Caenorhabditis elegans: one gene and its partners. The protein of the gene in region 1 interacts with the protein of each later gene in a pairwise test. Each region holds a gene or a part of one and is shown in the gene's direction. Other genes may lie near its edges. The genes, in order: C38D4.7, ceh-89 and cash-1.

Region 1 (5,109 bases):
TCCCTTCCCAACTCTTCGACATATTATGTTTTACAGGCCTAAACCTGTATCGTAGTGGTACCTGGTCGATACACTCAACGTGTGCACTCACTGGAGATGGATTGGACAAGGCTATGCAACAACTTTCAGCTGAAATCACAAAATATATGGAATCAAGGAGAACTTGAGAAATTAAACTGTTTTTTGTAAACAATGCATGTGATCTTGTAAATTCTTGTAGAAAACCTACCAAATTCGTATCAATTGGCAAAGCTGTGTATTTAAAAAATATAATTTAGATTTGGAAACACATATGTTAACTGAAAGAGTAGGACTAGATATGATTTTGTCTAAATACTCTTAAAATGTCCCAAAAATCCAAATATCTAAACATGTTTAAGATTTTTCAACTTTTCCAGTCAACTTTGGCAAATTGCCAATTTTTTTACCAATTTGGACTTTATGAAAAACTTCGGGCAATTTTGTAAATTTGAACAATCACAGCGTTTAAATACATATAATTTAAATATAATTAAAATACAAAACTATTAGAAATCATATTTTCCGGATTTCCAAAATTATGTGCTTTGAAAACTGAGGAATTGCCACTTTTTGTGGACTTTGGAGAAAAAAAAATGTTTTCAATTGTTAAAGATATTTTACCATCAAGATCTGATTTTTCTAACCCCAATTTTATAAATTAAAACAAAAAGAACTGAAAAAAAATCATAAATTTCTAGTCAAAAATTACTCAGTTTTCACTTATCATCATTTTGGACGTTGATCATAAGTTGTATTGTATTGTATTTATTACGATAGAGTTGTTCAACAAATTTGGTAATTTGCCAAAAAATTTGACAAAATAGTCCGAAAAGTTGTTTCAATTAGATACTTGGTTTTTTGTAATATGTTTTAGTTTTAGTATATTTGGTATGAAACTCCTTACAATTGGAGATGATGTTCTTTTTTCCAATGTTCCACATTTTCCTAATAATCCGTTTTATCTTTCCTTGAATACATAAACACATTCTCTTGAAGATCATACTAATTGTTTATATCACAATGTGCTCTTCGTCGGGCTCGCGTCAAAAGATGCGCGAAAAGAAATGCGACACCTCCTCCTCCAACTGGGTCGGCGTTAGGCTTTTTCTTTATTCCTTCCGCATCACGCTCGTAAATCGTGGTATCAAGCTGAGAAGGGCCGTCTTTCTCTGGCTTCGGTATCGGTATCTCATTGCGAAAAAAGCAAAGGATATAAGCACTTAAATTATACAAAAGATTATACATTGTTTGGTGTTTTGCCGCACAGTAATCCGCAGTAAGACAATCCAAGTGGTTGCGCCACCCGTCTGTGAGAAACCAACAAAAAAGTTTCACAAAAGTTTGGAATACCTGGGTTAAATTACATTTTAAAAAGTTTCAGGAAAAAGTACATTCTGCATTTTAGATTTTTTATTTCGTTCATGTTTTGGTAAATTACCAAATATTCCAACAACGTTTTTTTTAGTAATTTAGAGAAATTTAGAATTGAAATATGAATATAAAGTTATTTTTTTGATTCGTTTAAAATTATAGAAAGATGCTTAACAATTTTAGAATATAATCCTCCAAATAATCGGGGAAAATTCTTCAATTGATAACTTTCATACTGTATACTTTCAGAATGCAACATGTTATCTTCAGGCCATTTAAATATTTTTCTATATTTTGAAACTAAATTTTAATTAAAAATATAGGCACAACATTCTGAAATAGGCTATTTTGTAGAAGTGATGCACACACAAACTTTGGCAGATTGTATCTCAGCTGCTATTAGTCTTAATATCAAAAAATGGCAACAAGAAAAATATGTTTTATGTATTTTTCTCTACGACATTGCTGTTGAAAATTTGTTGATATCTTTCAAATGCAGAGAGATATGAGCTTCCCAAAAGAGCAACTACGGCAAAAAATAAAAACTGTATTGTAAAAAATTTTCAAAAATTTGCTTTGAAAATTTTTTTTTGGAAATATATTCAGAATATTCTTTTCAATTTCATTGAAGTTTTCTAATTTTTCCCTTTAAAACAAAATGTTTTTAAAAAACGAAAAAGATGAACTTCCGTATGACCTCACGTGCCTCTTGAAGAGATGGGCGAAGCAACGTGTGCCACGTTTTTCGTCAGAATCGACATTCTCGATTTTAACAGTTCACTTTTTCACCTTTTCCTCTTTCCTTTTCAGCTTTTGATTCGGAATTTTTTTTATTAGAACGTGTTCACGCTATTCTTCTCGTTGGGTCTCGCCACGATCACTGTCGTTTTAGCTGCTAAAAGTGCAAATCTTCACAAAATCATACATTTCAGGATGAGCAAGCCAAGCACTCCAGCTCCAGCCTCTGCTGACCAAGTGAGTTTTTCATTTCATTGTACCTAAAAAATAATCGTTTTCAGAATGGCGATTCCGCCACCCGACAGACTGCCCAGACTACTGAAACTCCCGCGAGTTTGCTTTCTGCTGTGGGAAATGGTGCACCGAATATGGCGGGATTTACCCTCAACCGCGATATGGTCCCATTCTTCCCCTACCAACTCCAAAATCCGATGCTCCAACCACCACAAAACTCTTTGGAAAATGCGGTTAGTACATTGACTTTTACAATTGAGCCATTACTGAAATGGAATTATTTTTCAGATTGTGCACTCACTGGGTACTCTGGCTGCTCAGTCATCCATGTTTGGGCAGTTGTGTGAGAAGATGCTAAAAGCCCAAGAAGAAGCTCGCGCCGATCAACGATCCATTCGCGAAGAGCATCGAGCTGAAAGAGAGAAGGCCGACGAGCGGAGCCAGCAAAATATGGATAAGATGATGGCACTTGTCCATTCTCTCGTGGAACGTGTCGATAGGAGCCACGCTTCGTCATATGATGTGGTTGGTCAAAAGAATCCATCGTCCAGCTCCCTCAAACCAGCGAAAAGAGTCAAGTCTGCCGTTGTTCGTCAATCCAATTTAGCCAAGCGGACCGGAGCACCTGTTGATGCTGCAAAGGAGTTGAAAAAGATTCGAGATGAGGAAAACAGAAACCATGGACGATCTGCTGAAAGGTAATTCTAGTTGTGTTTTTTTTTTCAATTTAAATGAGAGTTTCAGAGATAATGTGTTCATCGGTGCAGTGCTGGTGGGGAAAGGATCTCAGTACGATAAGGTAAGCCTGAAAATTATAAAAAATTAGTTGAAGTTGTTTTTCAGGATCTTGAAAAATTCAAGAGCTTCCGATGCAGGACCTGCAATGAAGTTTCCCAGACGAAGGAGCAGCTCGTGGATCACTTTTCAAACAACCACGCCGGCGAACTTGGGGCGAGAAGGTCACTGCGAATAAAGCAGACCTCGTGTTAAATTTCTTTTTTAATTTATATTCGTTTTTGTTTTAAAATTTAAGCTTTTTTGATACAAATAAATTTTATAGTAAATAAATCTTGTTTCTCCTACCAGCTATCTAACTATTCCCAACAGTGGGTGGCAATAAATACGAGACGCGGCTCTTCTCACGGCGGTATCATAGATGCACAAAGAGCAAAACGATTACGCAACAGACAGCCGGGTCATATTCAGGTCAAACTTGATAGTGCATGAAATCGAGTAGTAAGCGACTCTTTGATATTTTCAGATGCTCCATTTGTTGTTCTTCATGACAGCTGCAGAGTTCCCAGATCGTAAATGTTTAATGTTCTGAAAGAAGGTACATAATCAGTCAAAGGGCGGTCTCATTGTTGCCTTTTATATCAAATCTTTGGAGGACAAATTGTCGATTTCAGCAACATTTTTTGTTAAGAATCTCCAACTTTTAGAATAACTATTTAATAGATCACTCGTTTCTGATAAGAGAAATAATTCTCTGCTACCGTAATCTTTGCTCCACATGAACCTGTCAGTCATAAATGCTCATTCGTATCGTACTCAATTAAACTTTCATCGCTCATTTATTTCCTAATGAACATCGTAATGGAACCTCAATTCCAGATGGGCTCAATGGCCGGTAGACTTACTATTATTTGGGCGAGTAGATCAAATATGAGGTGAGTGATCTATTTTTCAAATTATTTTAAAGGCGGGATCTCATTGAAATTAAATTTAGTGGCTAAAATTCTTCTTTTCTTAATTTTTGGCTAGATGATTTTTTCTAATCTTTTTCAAAATTTTATAATTTTTAAAATATTTATTTAAATAAAAAGATATTTAACAGCAAGTTAACTATTGAACAATAAATTAAATAAAAATCTTCGTAAATCGACAAGTGGAAAGTGCGCTCTATTGAGCTGATCAGTCAGTAAAAATTTTTCAGTGTTAATTTTTTTCTGTTCTTCATTTCTGTTGAGTTTTAACGTTTCTTTTATATTTGTCTTGCTAATTTCAATGCTAAAAATCAATTCTAAAAACGCATATTTTATTAAAGTAAGAAAATCCATCTTCGAATACAGTCTCGGACAGTTTCCTGCACAGACCAATAATTTATTTCCCAACGAACTGGGCGTTTTTGTTTCCTTGCCGACCTGTCTCATTGTAAAAGTGATATGTTTGTCTGAAAATCGACGTGTGGCTATAAATCATTCACAATTCCCTCTCCCGTTCATATCTGATAAATCCCGCCTTCCCAAGTGCTCAATGAGCCGCAGGAGGCGGTGCCGGGTTGCCAGCTCGTTATTTTATTGCTATTCTCATCAAATCTCGAAAATCTTCCTTCAAATTTTGAATTTTTATTACTGTTCACTTTTCTCTATATAAACTGATAATTACTTCCTCGTTTTCAGAATGTCGGTCGATGTCAAGTCGGATTTTTCGGAAAACGAGTCCTCATCAACACCTTCACCAACAACAGTTCCAGCAGATGTCACGTGGCCTCACTATCCAATGATGCCATTCATGCAACCACATCCTCTGAGGCTAGATCTTCGAAATTTTTATTTGGAATCTCAAAATCAACGAAAAATTAAATATTTCCTGTTGGTGTTTCATTACGACCAAGTGAACAAAATTAAATACCATAAATATTTAATAATCCAGCACACACACATGGTTGTAAATCCATGCCCTTTCTCTTATTTATCTCCTTCAAAATATTTGCTAACCATGTATTTATTCTCAAATATTGTC
Region 2 (6,714 bases), on another chromosome or scaffold:
AGAAATAAGAGTAAATTTTGGAGAGAATCCCAACCAAGTCTGGATGGCCAAACGCTCGCGTATACTGATGCGACTCAATTTTCTCCGGATGACTAGCGATGTCCTTTAAGATCTCAGTGACAAATTTTGGTGCTGGTGAATCTGGGAATCCTTGGCCAAGGCTCACCGCCTTATTTTCGATGGCAAGTTTTCCGAACTCTACCCTGCAAAAATATTCTTTAGGTTGGAGCTTCAGGGTCTTTTACATTCAACTTTCAACATAATATTGAATAACTAACCAAATCGACTCCTGATGCTCCCCGACGTTTTCAGATGGTTGTCTCGCAAAATTCGTCAACATGTTTCACTCGTTGAAATGGCAAAAAAAGTTTCTGGAAAAGAAAAATGTTTGAAACGACGTCAGAATGTTTCTATAAAGACGAATAAAGAGCAAAAAGTTGTATAGAAAAAAAAATGAACCGTCTGTTAGAAGAAGAGCAAAAAGCTTCTCACTAAGTGATATTTGTTTTGGAAGCCGAAACATTTTCAACTATGTTTGATGACATTCATGACAAATGTAGGAGACGAGTAATCTAAATATGTCACAAACGGTGAATTAAACTTAACAGTTTAAATTATAAAGAGCCTTCAAGGTAACACCTTTTTAACTTCAGTTTAAAAAATTTTAATGAATGATTTTAAATTTCCAAAACTACAAATATTTCCTAATATGTAATATGGTCCGAAAACACAAAAAATAGACAATGGAAAAAAACGAAATTACAGAATAAAAAGATAAATCACGGCCTATTACCAGTATTCATAAATAAATGATTGCGCCATTTCATATGAAGAAACCGACTCACAAAAGTGCATCCAACCTCAGAGACTGTGTTCTTCTAGTTTCTGTCCAATCGCCATTTGTTACAATATTTCGTTATTGTGTATCTATCCATGTCTGGGGCAGTCGAAAAATCCAATGCTTTTATGATCGGTCTAGACAGCAGAAATTATTTCCACATCACGCAGCTTACCCAGATGCTCATTGATGATTTTGGTAGAGTAAATGATGTGGACTTGGAAATGCAGTTACCGAATGACCTCTATTAGTCTTGCATGTTGGACTAAATTTAAATTGGGCCGTAGGAGTGCAAGACTAATAGAGATCGCAAGACTATTTACTGAATATCAAATAGCTTCTGGAAAAGTGAACAAAAGAACAAAATTGTAGAAAACCCAACTTGGTACCGTTTAAATAATAAAAACTACAGAATCACCAAGCTTATATTGAACAATTCGATGTGAAAGTGTGTCTTGAATGAACGACAATTGACCACATTTGAATAACAATAAATAAATTTTGAGATGAATGTTATATCATTATGAGATATCTAGAGTACTTTAAGATTATTTGCCATTTGGAGAGAATTAGTGTTTTACTAGTTCTGTACTTATGTATGTAGTAGCATTTAAAACTACAATATGAGTACAGTTTTTTCATTAAACTCAGAGTGCAGAGCTTCTGCTGTTTGGCGTTTTCAGATTTGGCAGTTTGTGCAATTAGTTTGTGTTTCTGTTAAATTTCACTGTCATTCATTACTTGTTTTACTTATTACCTAAAATGTGAATATTCCAGCACTTGGCTCTGATAACTGTTTTTGTTTGTTTTCTAAGTGTCTATCAACTCCATTGCGTGCGTCACTTTTGATGCGTTTTCCCGCGTCACAATCTGATTTGCAAAACGGAGTCAGTTTTGAAAGAACATCTGTTAGCTCTCATATCTCTCCTATTTTTTCATTCATCTCACTAACACACTTGACCGGAGATTGCATATTAGAATAAAGTACGAGACCGAGACATAGAGGGTAGAAATGTTGGGAGAGTGTGCGCTTGCACTCTTCATCGATTTTCTAAGTTTATTTTTTCCTTTTAAGAATACGGCCAATTTGATAACACAACTAGTTTCTAGTTTTCACTATCTAGCTTCTAGATTTAACTCTTTTTACATTAAGTCCCACATTTCCTGTTTTGTTTCAATTTAAAAGCGGTTTTTTTAACATCCCGCTTCTTGTGCGATAGAGCGAAGTTGACTCTGTAGCATTTTGTTTTTATAAGCCTAAAATATTTGCATGCGATTTCCACATTTCTCCAACAATTGAATAGCATTTTCTTAGAAATAACTAAAAAAAACCTTTTCAGATTATACATTTTCAAAACTTATTTATTTAGTTTTCAGATGGCTCCATCAAAAAGAAGTTCGAAAAAGTCACGCACAGTAAGTTGTTAACTTTATTTTTTAAAAAGTATTTTTCTTTACACATTACATTTTATTTTCTGTTGTAAAGATACTTGAACTAATTTTAAGCCAAAAACTAATCAAATTTGGATTAAAACTAAGTAAAAACAATAGACAAACAATTTTCAGAAAAATGTCAGGAGAGAGACGGAAAACTCAAAAACTCAGAAACAATCAACACGGAATCTTCCGAACGTATGATTTGCATCACAAAATAGTCACACTAATATAAAAATTGCAGAGAGCTTGCAAACTGAAATCACTTCCAGCTACAACAAAGTCACATTCGGATTCAGTAAGTTTTTACTTTCTTGTAAAAATAGAAACCGTTAAAAGATTTATCATTTCTAAATAATAACTTGCAAAAGCGCCAAACTAGAAGGAGCCAGAATCCTGTAGTCAAAAAGCGTATTTCATCTTCATCGTCTTCATCTTCGTCTCGTTCGAAGTCTTCTGATAAGTCTAAGAATGTATCAATTCCAGAAGTAAGTTGAAACGTTAACAAAAAGTGCTTCAAAGCAAAAGAAATCATAATGTTAAGTCATCTTTTTTTGTTCATTCTAATTCATAATTCTAATTTTAAATTTGAAAATTCAAAATAAGAATCCTTAAAAACATGTTTAATAACGCTTCAAATCATTAAAATTTAAAAATAGCTAGAATTGTCCTAGGAGGTAGTAGGACAAGGAAATAAGGCCAAATATTTATTTATGAATAAGAAGAAGGGGGGAAACAATAGTGTATATTCTTGGGGAACTGACCGGCTCCTTTTATATGGTCTCTTAATTCGATCAGCAGGGGCGTGAGGAAGCAAGGGAATATGGTAATAAAACATTTTCTGGGAATGTGAATTCGAGGGAATATGGGAATATGGTAATAAAATATTTTCTGGGAATGTGAATAGTCAGAATATTATGGATCAAACATTAAGAATCGCCTTCGATGCGACAAGAATCTTAAATTTTGCCAATTTTACAGTATCGCAGCTGGCGGAAGGTGATTTTTATGTGATTTTTGTTAATTGAAGTATATTTTATTTTTCTGAAAACTTACTGTGTACTAAAAACGTGCTTAAATTTAAAACAAACGCTGAGTTATCAATCAAAATAAGAAAAAAAATTTGTTAAAGATTGGTTTCAGCTCACTAGAAAAATGACAAATATAATAATTCAAAATATTCCGAGTTTAATTAGACCAGAATATAAATTTCACTGTGATAAAAAAAAATCAAAATTAAGATACACATAATTTTTGCTGATCTTGAATCATTTTTTCAACTGTTTCATATGCTTATATATTTAGCTAAATTCTAATACATTCAAATAAGAATGTTTGAAGAAAACGTTTGAAAATACTCTAAATTTCAGGCAGATCAAACACTTGGAATCGAAAGATCAAGACGTGAAGATTCTTCGTCATCCGAATTATCCGAATGTTACTCTGCACAGAATTATTTGGTAACGTTAAATTGTGCTACTAAATTTTAATTTTGAGCTACAGATTCAAAACGCGTACTACTCGGAAAAATATGCTCCAGCTATCATACACAAATTGCTTCCTGCCTTTGAGGCAAACAAAAATCCAAACAACGATGAAATTTTGGAAATAATGGCAGATACAGGATTATCTCGAAAAGAAGTTAGTTTTTTTTTTTACTTTAAAAATTCTCCTTAAAAAAACTCTAACGCGTTTAGGTTCGTCGCTGGTTCCAATGGCGTAATGGCACAAACTTCAGAATTGTTAGGCCAGTGACTGAGGAGCAGAAAAAACGGGCTGCTGAACGAGAAAGAAGCAGAGCTCATTTGAAAGTGGACCTGGAACAGGTGAATCCAATACTAGAAGCTATTCCTACAAGGAATCGGAACTGTGTCGCGGGGGGAATACTGCAACTAGACGTTCAGTCATTTAAAGAGCCTGAACTAATTGTATATGGTTGGTGGCCATTTGGGACTGTGGAAATGGATGATTTCGAAACGTACGATTATCCTTGGGATGATGATGGAGAAGTTGATAGGGAATGGTAAATAACAACGGTAAATGTTTGTAAAGTTCACTTGAGATATGTTGTCTATTTTGGACAATATGGATATGGCTTTGAACAAAAATGAACTAATTGTAAGAAGAAAAACCCTATATTTTTTGATATTCTGCAAAACTAAACTTTTTATTTTCAGGACCCGATCTGAAAAAGAATTGTTGAAGAAACACCCATTGTATTGACAACAAAAAAGCAGCATTTTAAAATAAAGATAACACATTAACTATTTATCTGTCTGTTCCCCATTTTCACTGACTCCACTCTTACATCTACTTTAAGGGTCCTTTTTCCATCCTTCTTTGCAGACCTAACAAATCTAAAAAAACAATCGTATAATATCTGAATTAATTAACCTTTCACGACTTGTAATTAACCCATATTATTATATTTGCTTGGAAAAATAGGATTTTTTAAAAAATGTTGACAGATCCTTTCCAATCATCAATTTCCCATATTCACCATGTCAAAAACACGTTAAGTATTTACGAGAACTCAAGCATGCTCTGTAGAGAACTGTTTAAATTTTCCTTATTTTATGTTTCCGGTTTGCCGACCTGTTTGAGATTTCAAAGCTACAGTATTTTCAAAACGATGTTGCTTTAATACTTATGCTACATTTATTTCTCTATTGGACCTGCACTCAATAATATCAATTGAGACATACATTTCCAGTCCTTATCTATTTGTCTTACTAAAATGTGAACTTTTATCAGTCTTGCTTTCAAGTTATTTTATTCCATTTCAGTTGTATTTTTTAATAACTTTTAATATTTTTGAAATGCGCTGTTAATATTTTTAATTGATACTTTCTATTTAATTTAAATTGTTTATTCCGTGTTTTTACGTGCATTTTCGGATAATCGGCTTCCAAATATACCAAAAATTGAGTGCCTACCGATTGAAACTGTAAGCTAATAACAACTAGGCCTGTTGAATGGGTCGAGATGGGTCGACCCGCGACCCAATTTTGGGTCGGGGTCGCGTCCCCGACCCATTTTCGGAAAATGTCTGAAATTGAAAAAAAAAGTTTGTTTTGTTGTAAATCGTGTTTAAACGTTGACTCTTATGCTTGTTTGTATCGAAAATAGGATATGTTTTTTTAATTGATGAAAATACGATAATTTTATAATTTTCAGCTTTTACACGTGTTTTTTGACAAAAAATAGTTTTTCAAGTTTTTGATAACTTTCTGTTAAATTTTGAAAAAAATGGGTCGGGGACATGACCCCGACCCAAAAAGTGGGTCGGGGCCGCAACCCCGACCCAAAAAATGGGTCGGGGACGCGACCCCAACCCGGCCGACCCAAAAAAAATGGGGCGACCCACTCCACAGGCCTAATAACAACAATGCAGACAAAATATACAAAATAGCAGTATATTCGAATAAAAATTCATATCTGTCCACTGCGAGAAGAACGAGTAATTAATATGTCTTTTTTTTTATATTTTGCACGTTTCTGTTTTTGTGGTGTCCTTGTTCTATATAAAGGACTACACACCAAAAAACAACTGAATAATAGACGTTGTTGACATGCTTGTTTGTGGATTTTCAGAGATCAAATCCCACGTTTTCGGTTTTTTTTGTCGTTTTTTCGGAATCTCTAAAATGTATATTCTTTGTTTTTAGTAGTTCATATTATTATAAAAGAAAAAAAACTGCACATCTGGTAAACAATATAGAAAAAGAGAGTTGCGAAACTTCAAAAATTTGTTATTTAATGTCTTGCGACACTTAAAAAACCGGCATTTTACAGTTTATGTTGTGTTTTTTGTTTGTCGGTTGTCTTATCATCTTGTGGTTTTGGATGCATTTTTCACTTGGCAAGTTGTTTACCACTTTCTTCCGACCGCATGCTTTTTTTGCTTCGTTGGTTTTTTCAAAGTAAGACGGTTGTCATACAACAAATATCACAAGGAAATCACATATTTCACTGTTTCAACACCATGCCCATTTTACTCCAGACAAAAAGTTACCTATGTAGTTCCACTAGACGTTAGGAAATATTATACATTTTTGAAATTCATTTTTATTTTAGAGATTTCAAAATTATAGATTTTTACTAAAATTGCACGGAACGGCGGAAATAAGTAGACGAACGCCTACAGTCAAAATTCACAGGAATACCTCGTTAAATTATTCCGCTTTAAATAACTAAAATTGTATATAACATCACACTTCTACTTCCAGTGAAATACGCCTCTTTCTGCTTAAACTTTTTGTTCAGTTAACCAAAAGAATAGAGATTTGCAGCAAAGGTGGAGTAGCTCTTGTGCACGTGGTGGCAGGCAGTCCCATCACGGTCTGATCTACAAAACATGCGGGAATTTTTTCCCCCAAAAAATATGACGTCAGCACACTCTTAGCCATGCGCATTCAGTTGAAATGTCTGCGTCTAAATTC
Region 3 (7,342 bases), on another chromosome or scaffold:
TTTTGTCCAAAAATTTGTAGACAATCCATTGCTGATTGATAATAAGTTTGAATTATTAAATTTGGGTGATATAATGAAAATTCGTTTTTAGAAAATTTGATATTGGAATCTATACAGTAGTAACATCTCTTCTGCCTTTACGTGTTTACATTTACGATGGTGATGTTCTCATCAGGTGAGCGTTTAAAAATATTTGTTTTTGATATTCGCTTCTGGAAACCAGAAAAAATTCTAAAATTGAATTATTCTAGATTTTGTCCAGAAGACTACCATCCATTTGATGCGAATAATGTGGATAAATATGTTGTTGGAGATGACTATACACCTATTTGGGAGGTAAACCAAATTCTAAAAGCTTTAATAATATACCCAAGATATTCAGATAAATTCATTGAAAAAATACTTCAACACTCAAAAAATGAGCTTCAAGAGTACAATTGATTCTTATTTGGGAATGCAAGGAATGGATACAAGCAAGATTTGGTTGCAGATAAGAAATATTATTGGAGAGGTAATATTTAGAACTCTCAACTAATCTCTGTGATGCATATTTTCTAGATATTCAAAGGAGACGATCAAAAAATTTTGCACACTTTTTCTGAACTTCATTATCTTTTTTCAGGTCTTCCGAACACAGCAAACAAAAATGCTAATGAGTCTTCAAAACTTGAAATTAAATCCACAATACTTTGAATTAAGCAGATTTGATTTTGTGGTCGATGATCAATTGAACGTTTTTCTTATGGAGGTATGCATTTATTTTTCAGAATCATTAAAATTTACAAGACATCTTTGCAGGCGAATATGTCTCCTAATCTCTCTTCAGGTCATTTTAAACAAAATCAAATACTTTATGAACAAGTTCTAATGAACATTTTCTCTCTAACTGGAATTTCAACACCAATTACAAAAGAAGCTGACATCTTGTTCAAGTTCGTTTATTCCATTTGAAGCTGTCCACAAATTAGATTTCCCGTTCTAGATCACGTACATCCGAACAAAATCCTCTTGTTAACTCCCGAGACATCAATCTTCCGCTGAAATTTTGTGTTGAAAATAAATGTGAATCATGTGATGAGGCTCCAGAATGCCAGCTATGCGGACACTGTATGAATACAGAAACAAGGAAAATACTGGAGCAGACTTTTGTGGAAAATTCGAACAGGAAGCAGATGAAACGAATTCAGTTCGACTATGAAAATCATCATCCATTAACAAAAGAAGATCATCTTCTCACATTATGGTTAAGCACCAAATGTCAATTGGATAATACGTGGTGTTAAAGTAGCGTGCTGTACATTTTATTATTGTATTGGCCAAAACTATGACGGTCCCGGTTTTTTCAAAAAATACTTAGAAATTTTCAAATGCAACTTTCTGGGAGTTTTTAAGACAATCTTGCATAGCGGGTTTTGAGATTGAAGTTTTTTTGAAAGTTTCTCTTGATCTCATTATTTTATTCAGTAAAAATTGGTCACCAACTGAACGTTATCTTACTGTTTTTGAAAAATAAATTGAATATATCGGATATAAGTAATCAATTTTAATTTTCAAATAAATCATTCCGTTTTTGTTTTTCAATTTTGTTTTTGAAACAATCTTTTCGATGAAAAAAGATATTATGTGATGCAAATAAGTACCTGAATATGCTTGAAACGTAATACGCGTGAAATTTAGATAAAATTTGAGACAATAAAATCTCATTCCTTTTTTCTAACTACATCAGCAGGTGATTAAATAATATAATAAAAGTTTCTCCAAGATCCAAAACCCAAGTAAATGCATTTGATTTTCAGCTGGTGGTTTTATGTTGGCAAAGTTCAAGTTTCTCATATTTTTGGTTAACGGATACAGTCTGCTAAGCCACTTAATATATTAGCATTTTGAAATTCAAATGGAAAATAGATTTCACATTTGTATTTTTTAATTGTTAGTGGCATACGGTACTTATAGAAAGTCTACCTTTCAAATTTGAAAAGGCGCCAATAATTGCAACGAATATGCGCCCCATTGTTAATATGAAGACGCGCGCCGAACACGCGACGCAGACAACGGCACTCGTTTTACTCGCTCTTCCCTTTTCTTCCTCGTGCCTCGGGGCTGCGTCCACCTAATCGAATCAGTTTTTCATCAGTCTCGTACGACTTGATGCTACTTTTATTTTATCAGCTCATCTATATTGATTACAGCCCTAATAAGCAGTTTCAATTTTGCCACAAACTTCTCGTCCTCTATTGCAATTAAACTTTTTGAAAATCTTCTTATACACGTTTCGTAATTTTTTTCAACTGTTCTTTCCAGCTTTTGCACTTGCTTCATTAACGTAAATTACTCGAAATAAGATCGGATTCGAGTAGTTTACAATGGAGGACGCCAGTCAATTGTCAAACTCACAAAATGACAAAGCAAAGGACGAAACGGTAAGTTGAGTTGGAATTCAGCTTCTGTAAAAATCGAAAACTTTACAGACTCGTCCTCAGTATACAATGTCGGGTATTTTGCACTTTATACAACACGAATGGACAAAAAATGAGTTAGATCGAACTAGGTGGGAAGCAGAGAGAGCCGAAATGCAGGTGAGTAAATATTTTTTCTACGATTGTAATGTGAAATTTTTGTAGGCTCGTATTGCTTTCCTACAAGGAGAAAGAAAAGGTCAAGAAAATTTGAAACAAGATCTTGTCCGTCGTATCAAAATGCTCGAATTCTGCCTGAAACAAGAACGTGCCAAAAATTATCGACTAACCCACAACGGCGAAGAACCACCATCACTGGAAGAATCTCCAAATGAAAATTCAGCGCCAAGCGGTAATTTCTATGAAGACGTTCCGATCGAAAATATATATTTCAGAAAACAGCCATTTGACGGCCGACCTTGATGCATACATAAATGATGCTGGTGAAGCTGGAGGTAGTTTCAGGCAGGGACGCCTTCTTCTCAAACGTTATCTGGAAGAAATTGGATACAGCGAGCACATCATGGATGTTCGATCCTTCCGTGTAAAAAATCTTCTCGGATTATTACCCCAAGTATGAAAATTCAATAGTTTGAAAAAAAAACCAATCTGTTTTGAACTTCCAGGCTGATCTTCCATCCAGTGAACGTCTCAATGGTAGAAAAGAGAAAAGTGACAGGTACTTATTCACTACTTTCTTTTTGAACACATAGCAATCGTTCTAAGTAATTACAGTGATTCCGATGACGGACATGATGATGCAGCCTTGGATGCTGACGCCTCAAAGGCGTTTGAAGAGTTTGATTTTCTAAACAATATGGATGCGAAAGAAAAAGGTTCTGACGATGACTGGGCAGGAAAAGGAGCTTCATTCGAAAAACTGATAAAACAATACAAGGACGATCCAAAAGTGAAGCGGCGTTCAAGGACGTCAACTGAAGAATCCGAAGAGAAAACAAGCAACGATGTTCAGAAAAATCTAGAGACTGATGTTCCACCAGGAATTCGATCAGCTATCGATGCCGCTGCACAAGAAGAACTTCCAGTTCGGCGACAAGGTAGACGTAGTGCTAATTTTGGATATGGTAACGGAAATGAGTTGGACGTTGCTCTTGGAATGCAAGATAATGATAATATGGACATTAAGGACGAGTTCAAAGATGAAGTGAGTTTTTCAGTTTTAAAAATAAAAGAAAAATAATTGTCAAATTCAGGATGATGATCCGAATGCACAACAAGTGAAGTGGAATATCAAAGTTACTCTACGATCTCACCTTGATTCGATTCGCGCGATGCAATTCCATCCAGTTGAGCCCGTACTATTTACTGCTTCGGAAGACGGTCTGATCAAATTATGGAATCTCGATCAAAAGAAAGATGAGAAACACAACAGTGGTGGTACCGAGCTTGAGCCAGTTTATACATTCCGGGGACACAAAGGCCCTGTTCTATGCTTAGTCCTGTCGCCAACTGGAGATCATCTCTACACCGGAGGTATCGATGGAAACATCTGCTGTTTCAATGTACCATCTTCAAACGGGGATCCATTTGATTCTTATGGTAAGATTTATTTCTTAATTAAAATGAGCTGTCAAAAACTAATTAATCACAATTTGCTTCATTTTGTGCAAAATCGTTTGGAAAAAAAAGATTATGCATTGAAATTAGTATCGTCCTTTCGCAGAAACGGGACACTAGATGCATAATATTTTATGAAGAATTTGGACTTTCTCAGTGCAATTTTAGAAGTTTAGTTTTCTCTCAAAATCAATTTTCTAATAAAAGTGAATCATTCGTAGCTACCACTATGACTGAAATCGTTATGAGACCCACTCGGAAAACGATGCGTGCCTTTAAGCTAACAACAAAATTTCGCCAAATTATGATAACATGTTCAAATATCAAAGTATCAGTTACCTTTTGCGATACAGATTCAAACGATTCAACGCTATTTTTAGTTTAAATTTTCGCCAAACAATAAGACTAAAGTTAATTTAATAATTAGTTCAAATTTAAGGTTATGTTATTTATTATAGATCCACGAGTCCTAACTGAAACACTTACTGGACATACGGATGCAATTTGGTCGGTGGCTTATCATTCATCAAACAGTCGCCTTGTTTCTGCCAGTTCTGATTCAACGGTTCGTCTATGGGAACCAGGAAATGGTGAACCACTTATCAGAACTATTGGTGCCCCAAAATCCGGAATACTTCCGACATCAGTTGATTTTGTATCTACGGAAACATCACATTTACTTGCTGCATACACAAATTGCTATGCTCAAATTATTGATATCGATACTGGAAGCACTGTCATGGTGTTCGATTTCGGAGCGGTTACAGGTTCACCAACAATGAACAAAATTGTTAGTCATCCAACAATGCCTCTCACACTTATTGGCGGTGAAGATCGGACGATTCGGTACTTTGACAACACCAACGGATCGATAATTCATGAAGCTATCGCACATGTTGAGGGAGTTTCTTCTCTTGCTATTGATCCAAATGGTCTTTATCTTTTGTCTGGAAGTCATGATGGTAGTATCAGGATGTGGAATATGGAGAAACGTTCATGCCTTCAGGTATATTTTTTTATAAATTAAGAAACTGTACAAATGTAGTATTTTTCAGGAAATTTCTGCCCACCGGAAAAAGAATGATTCAGCAGTTACCTCCGTTGCTTTCCATCCTTCAAGATCTCTTATAGGATCTGCCGGTGCCGATTCTCTTGCCAAGGTGTACGTGTCAGGAAGCAACTAGAGTATCCCATTCATTTTTTTATTATTATTTCCCTATTTTCATATTTCGCCAATTTAACTTAAAGTATAATAGGAATTCGCCAGTTCGTCTCCCAGTTCATGCCCAAATCCACGCCTACATACCTTCATTTTTATTACTACAACAGTACCCTTTATTTTATTGTAGATAACCAACAACCATTTTTATTCAAATCTAAACGTAATTTATCTGTCCCCTCCTTCCCTCGATTGATTTCTTTTTAAATATGAAATTTGATCACGGGTCGAAAATGAGCATTTTGACACTTGTCAACCTAATCTGCAATCCTGTAAATATTACGTCGCAGTTAGCTCAAATTAACCATCTTCTGAAGTGGTTGCAGTGGTTATTTGGGCGAACAATTTTTTATATTTTCTATGGCAGTAATGTGAAACAACACCGATACAAATCGGGTTAAAACAATCTATAGGATATTGATTGATTAGCTCATCTTTAAACTGCACAAATTTCGACTCGTGTTCCTATTTCTCTTAGATACCCTTTCTGCGCCATGTTTTGTTCTCTCGGCATTGTTTCCATTCTCAAAACGCTTAGTTTTAATCAATAACCAGATATCCTCGAGAATCCAAATTCAGACCGTAAGTTCTCATCATTTTCCTCTACTTCATCCTCGTCTCTCTTTACCATTATTATCTGTTATTCTTTGTTTCTATCTCGGTCGACTGACAGTGTTTCAACTATGTCTTGAACTGTATCATAAATTACTGAGAATTCTAGTTTGATTTTTTGCACGAATACAGAATTTTTCACTTCTACCATTTCAGTGTTGGGCAATTGGGCAATTATCAAACGAAAATTAATGATTTCTTGAATTTTATAAATTGAGTACCGTAACCAGAAAAAAAAAACCATTTAAAACCATCTATTGATCCAATAGTCGATGAGGAATGGCAATATCTACTTTTGCTGGAAACTATGTGACCTGAATGAACATTTTCTACGTCAGACCAAACGCTGAATGGGAAGATTAAGGTATATCTATAAGCTCGATTCCAAATTGAAGAACCCAATAGATATAAATCAATCTAAAATTTTAAAGACAAAGAAAAAAAGTGAATAATAAAATATGCTAACTAACTAAATCTCGTGTCATTGTTTTATTCAATTGTTTTCTGTTCTCAAGAATCAAACTGATTAAGGATTATGTTGAAGAGAAGTTGGAAAAAAAATGTCGCCAAGTTATTTTATGTTTGACTTTTTCGCTTTTGGTTTTCGTTTTAGAAATATTTATGAATATTACGTCATAAAGCCATAATGTACTTGATTTTGATTGAATAAATGAATCAGGAAAAACTGAGAATATTCTCATTGTTAAGAAATACGATTGAAACAGAATAGTTTTCCATGGGAATTAATTTTTCTGAAAATGAGAAAAAAAACATATCAATGAGATCATTCACAGATTGGATTGATATATCGTGTCTGAATTAACAAATTTACACCTTTCCTAAGTTTCAATAATAATTATTAACACATATTTTGTGTCTTTTCTGCAATCATTATCACAGTGTTCATTGGATCTCTCGATTTTTTCGTCACAAATACGGTGCCCGGTCTCGCCACGACAAGTTTTCGTCATTTCAAAATGGTATGCGCCTTGAAGGAGTACTGTAATTTTCTATGTTCTTGTTGTTTCGGAGTTTCGTTCATTTTGTACAGTTTTTCTATCGTCCCCGTCCAATTTTTGTAAAAAAAGCACCAGAAATGAAATAAAATATTTTTTTAAATCGCAAATATTTTTCAAATCGCTAGCCATCTTCTGAACTTAACTGAACTAAAACATTATTTGAAAGTTAATGGGTGGCCCGTGGCGAGACCATTTCGCATATTTAAATGCGTCCTATTTAAAATCGTGGAATTGGGAAATAATTTACGATGTTCCAAACATTTATTGAAATATTTGTAGTTTTTTTAGTTTTACAAATGGCGAAACATCCATGCGTGACGTATGTGTAGGTAGCGTTAATATTATCCATAGATACGTAATAGCATAAATTTACTTCATAAAATGCGGAGTTTGGCGCATCAACTTTCACAGATTTTATACTCTACAAAGCCTCAGTGATTACGCGTTTTAAAAGTGTG

The links.
Region 2: the proteins of C38D4.7 (region 1) and ceh-89 interact in a two-hybrid assay, tested with the Caenorhabditis elegans proteins (one large-scale study listed by BioGRID).
Region 3: the proteins of C38D4.7 (region 1) and cash-1 interact in a two-hybrid assay, tested with the Caenorhabditis elegans proteins (one large-scale study listed by BioGRID).

Annotation. Positions count from the first base shown.
Region 1 is NC_003281.10:4,808,367-4,813,475, reverse strand, and holds C38D4.7 (C2H2-type domain-containing protein), read left to right. Parts: upstream 1-2,180; 5' UTR 2,181-2,325; coding exon 2,326-2,367; intron 2,368-2,411; coding exon 2,412-2,597; intron 2,598-2,652; coding exon 2,653-3,062; intron 3,063-3,108; coding exon 3,109-3,163; intron 3,164-3,207; coding exon 3,208-3,354; 3' UTR 3,355-3,445; downstream 3,446-5,109. Other genes in the region: arl-6 (ADP-ribosylation factor-like protein 6), read left to right, coding at 37-167; Homeobox protein pal-1, read left to right, coding at 4,768-4,898.
Region 2 is NC_003284.9:14,139,731-14,146,444, forward strand, and holds ceh-89 (Homeodomain-only protein), read left to right. Parts: upstream 1-2,215; coding exon 2,216-2,254; intron 2,255-2,404; coding exon 2,405-2,470; intron 2,471-2,516; coding exon 2,517-2,570; intron 2,571-3,642; coding exon 3,643-3,732; intron 3,733-3,775; coding exon 3,776-3,913; intron 3,914-3,969; coding exon 3,970-4,098; exon of another isoform or gene 4,099-4,308; intron 4,309-4,449; coding exon 4,450-4,461; 3' UTR 4,462-5,148; downstream 5,149-6,714. Other genes in the region: nkat-1 (Aminotransferase class I/classII large domain-containing protein), read right to left, coding at 1-203, 279-340.
Region 3 is NC_003283.11:10,359,962-10,367,303, forward strand, and holds cash-1 (Striatin N-terminal domain-containing protein), read left to right. Parts: upstream 1-2,299; 5' UTR 2,300-2,363; coding exon 2,364-2,420; intron 2,421-2,468; coding exon 2,469-2,576; intron 2,577-2,621; coding exon 2,622-2,808; intron 2,809-2,851; coding exon 2,852-3,030; intron 3,031-3,082; coding exon 3,083-3,135; intron 3,136-3,182; coding exon 3,183-3,621; intron 3,622-3,670; coding exon 3,671-4,016; intron 4,017-4,492; coding exon 4,493-5,040; intron 5,041-5,089; coding exon 5,090-5,218; 3' UTR 5,219-5,973; downstream 5,974-7,342. Other genes in the region: putative tubulin polyglutamylase ttll-15, read left to right, coding at 1-45, 92-175, 252-336, 383-511, 623-748, 799-932, 983-1,283.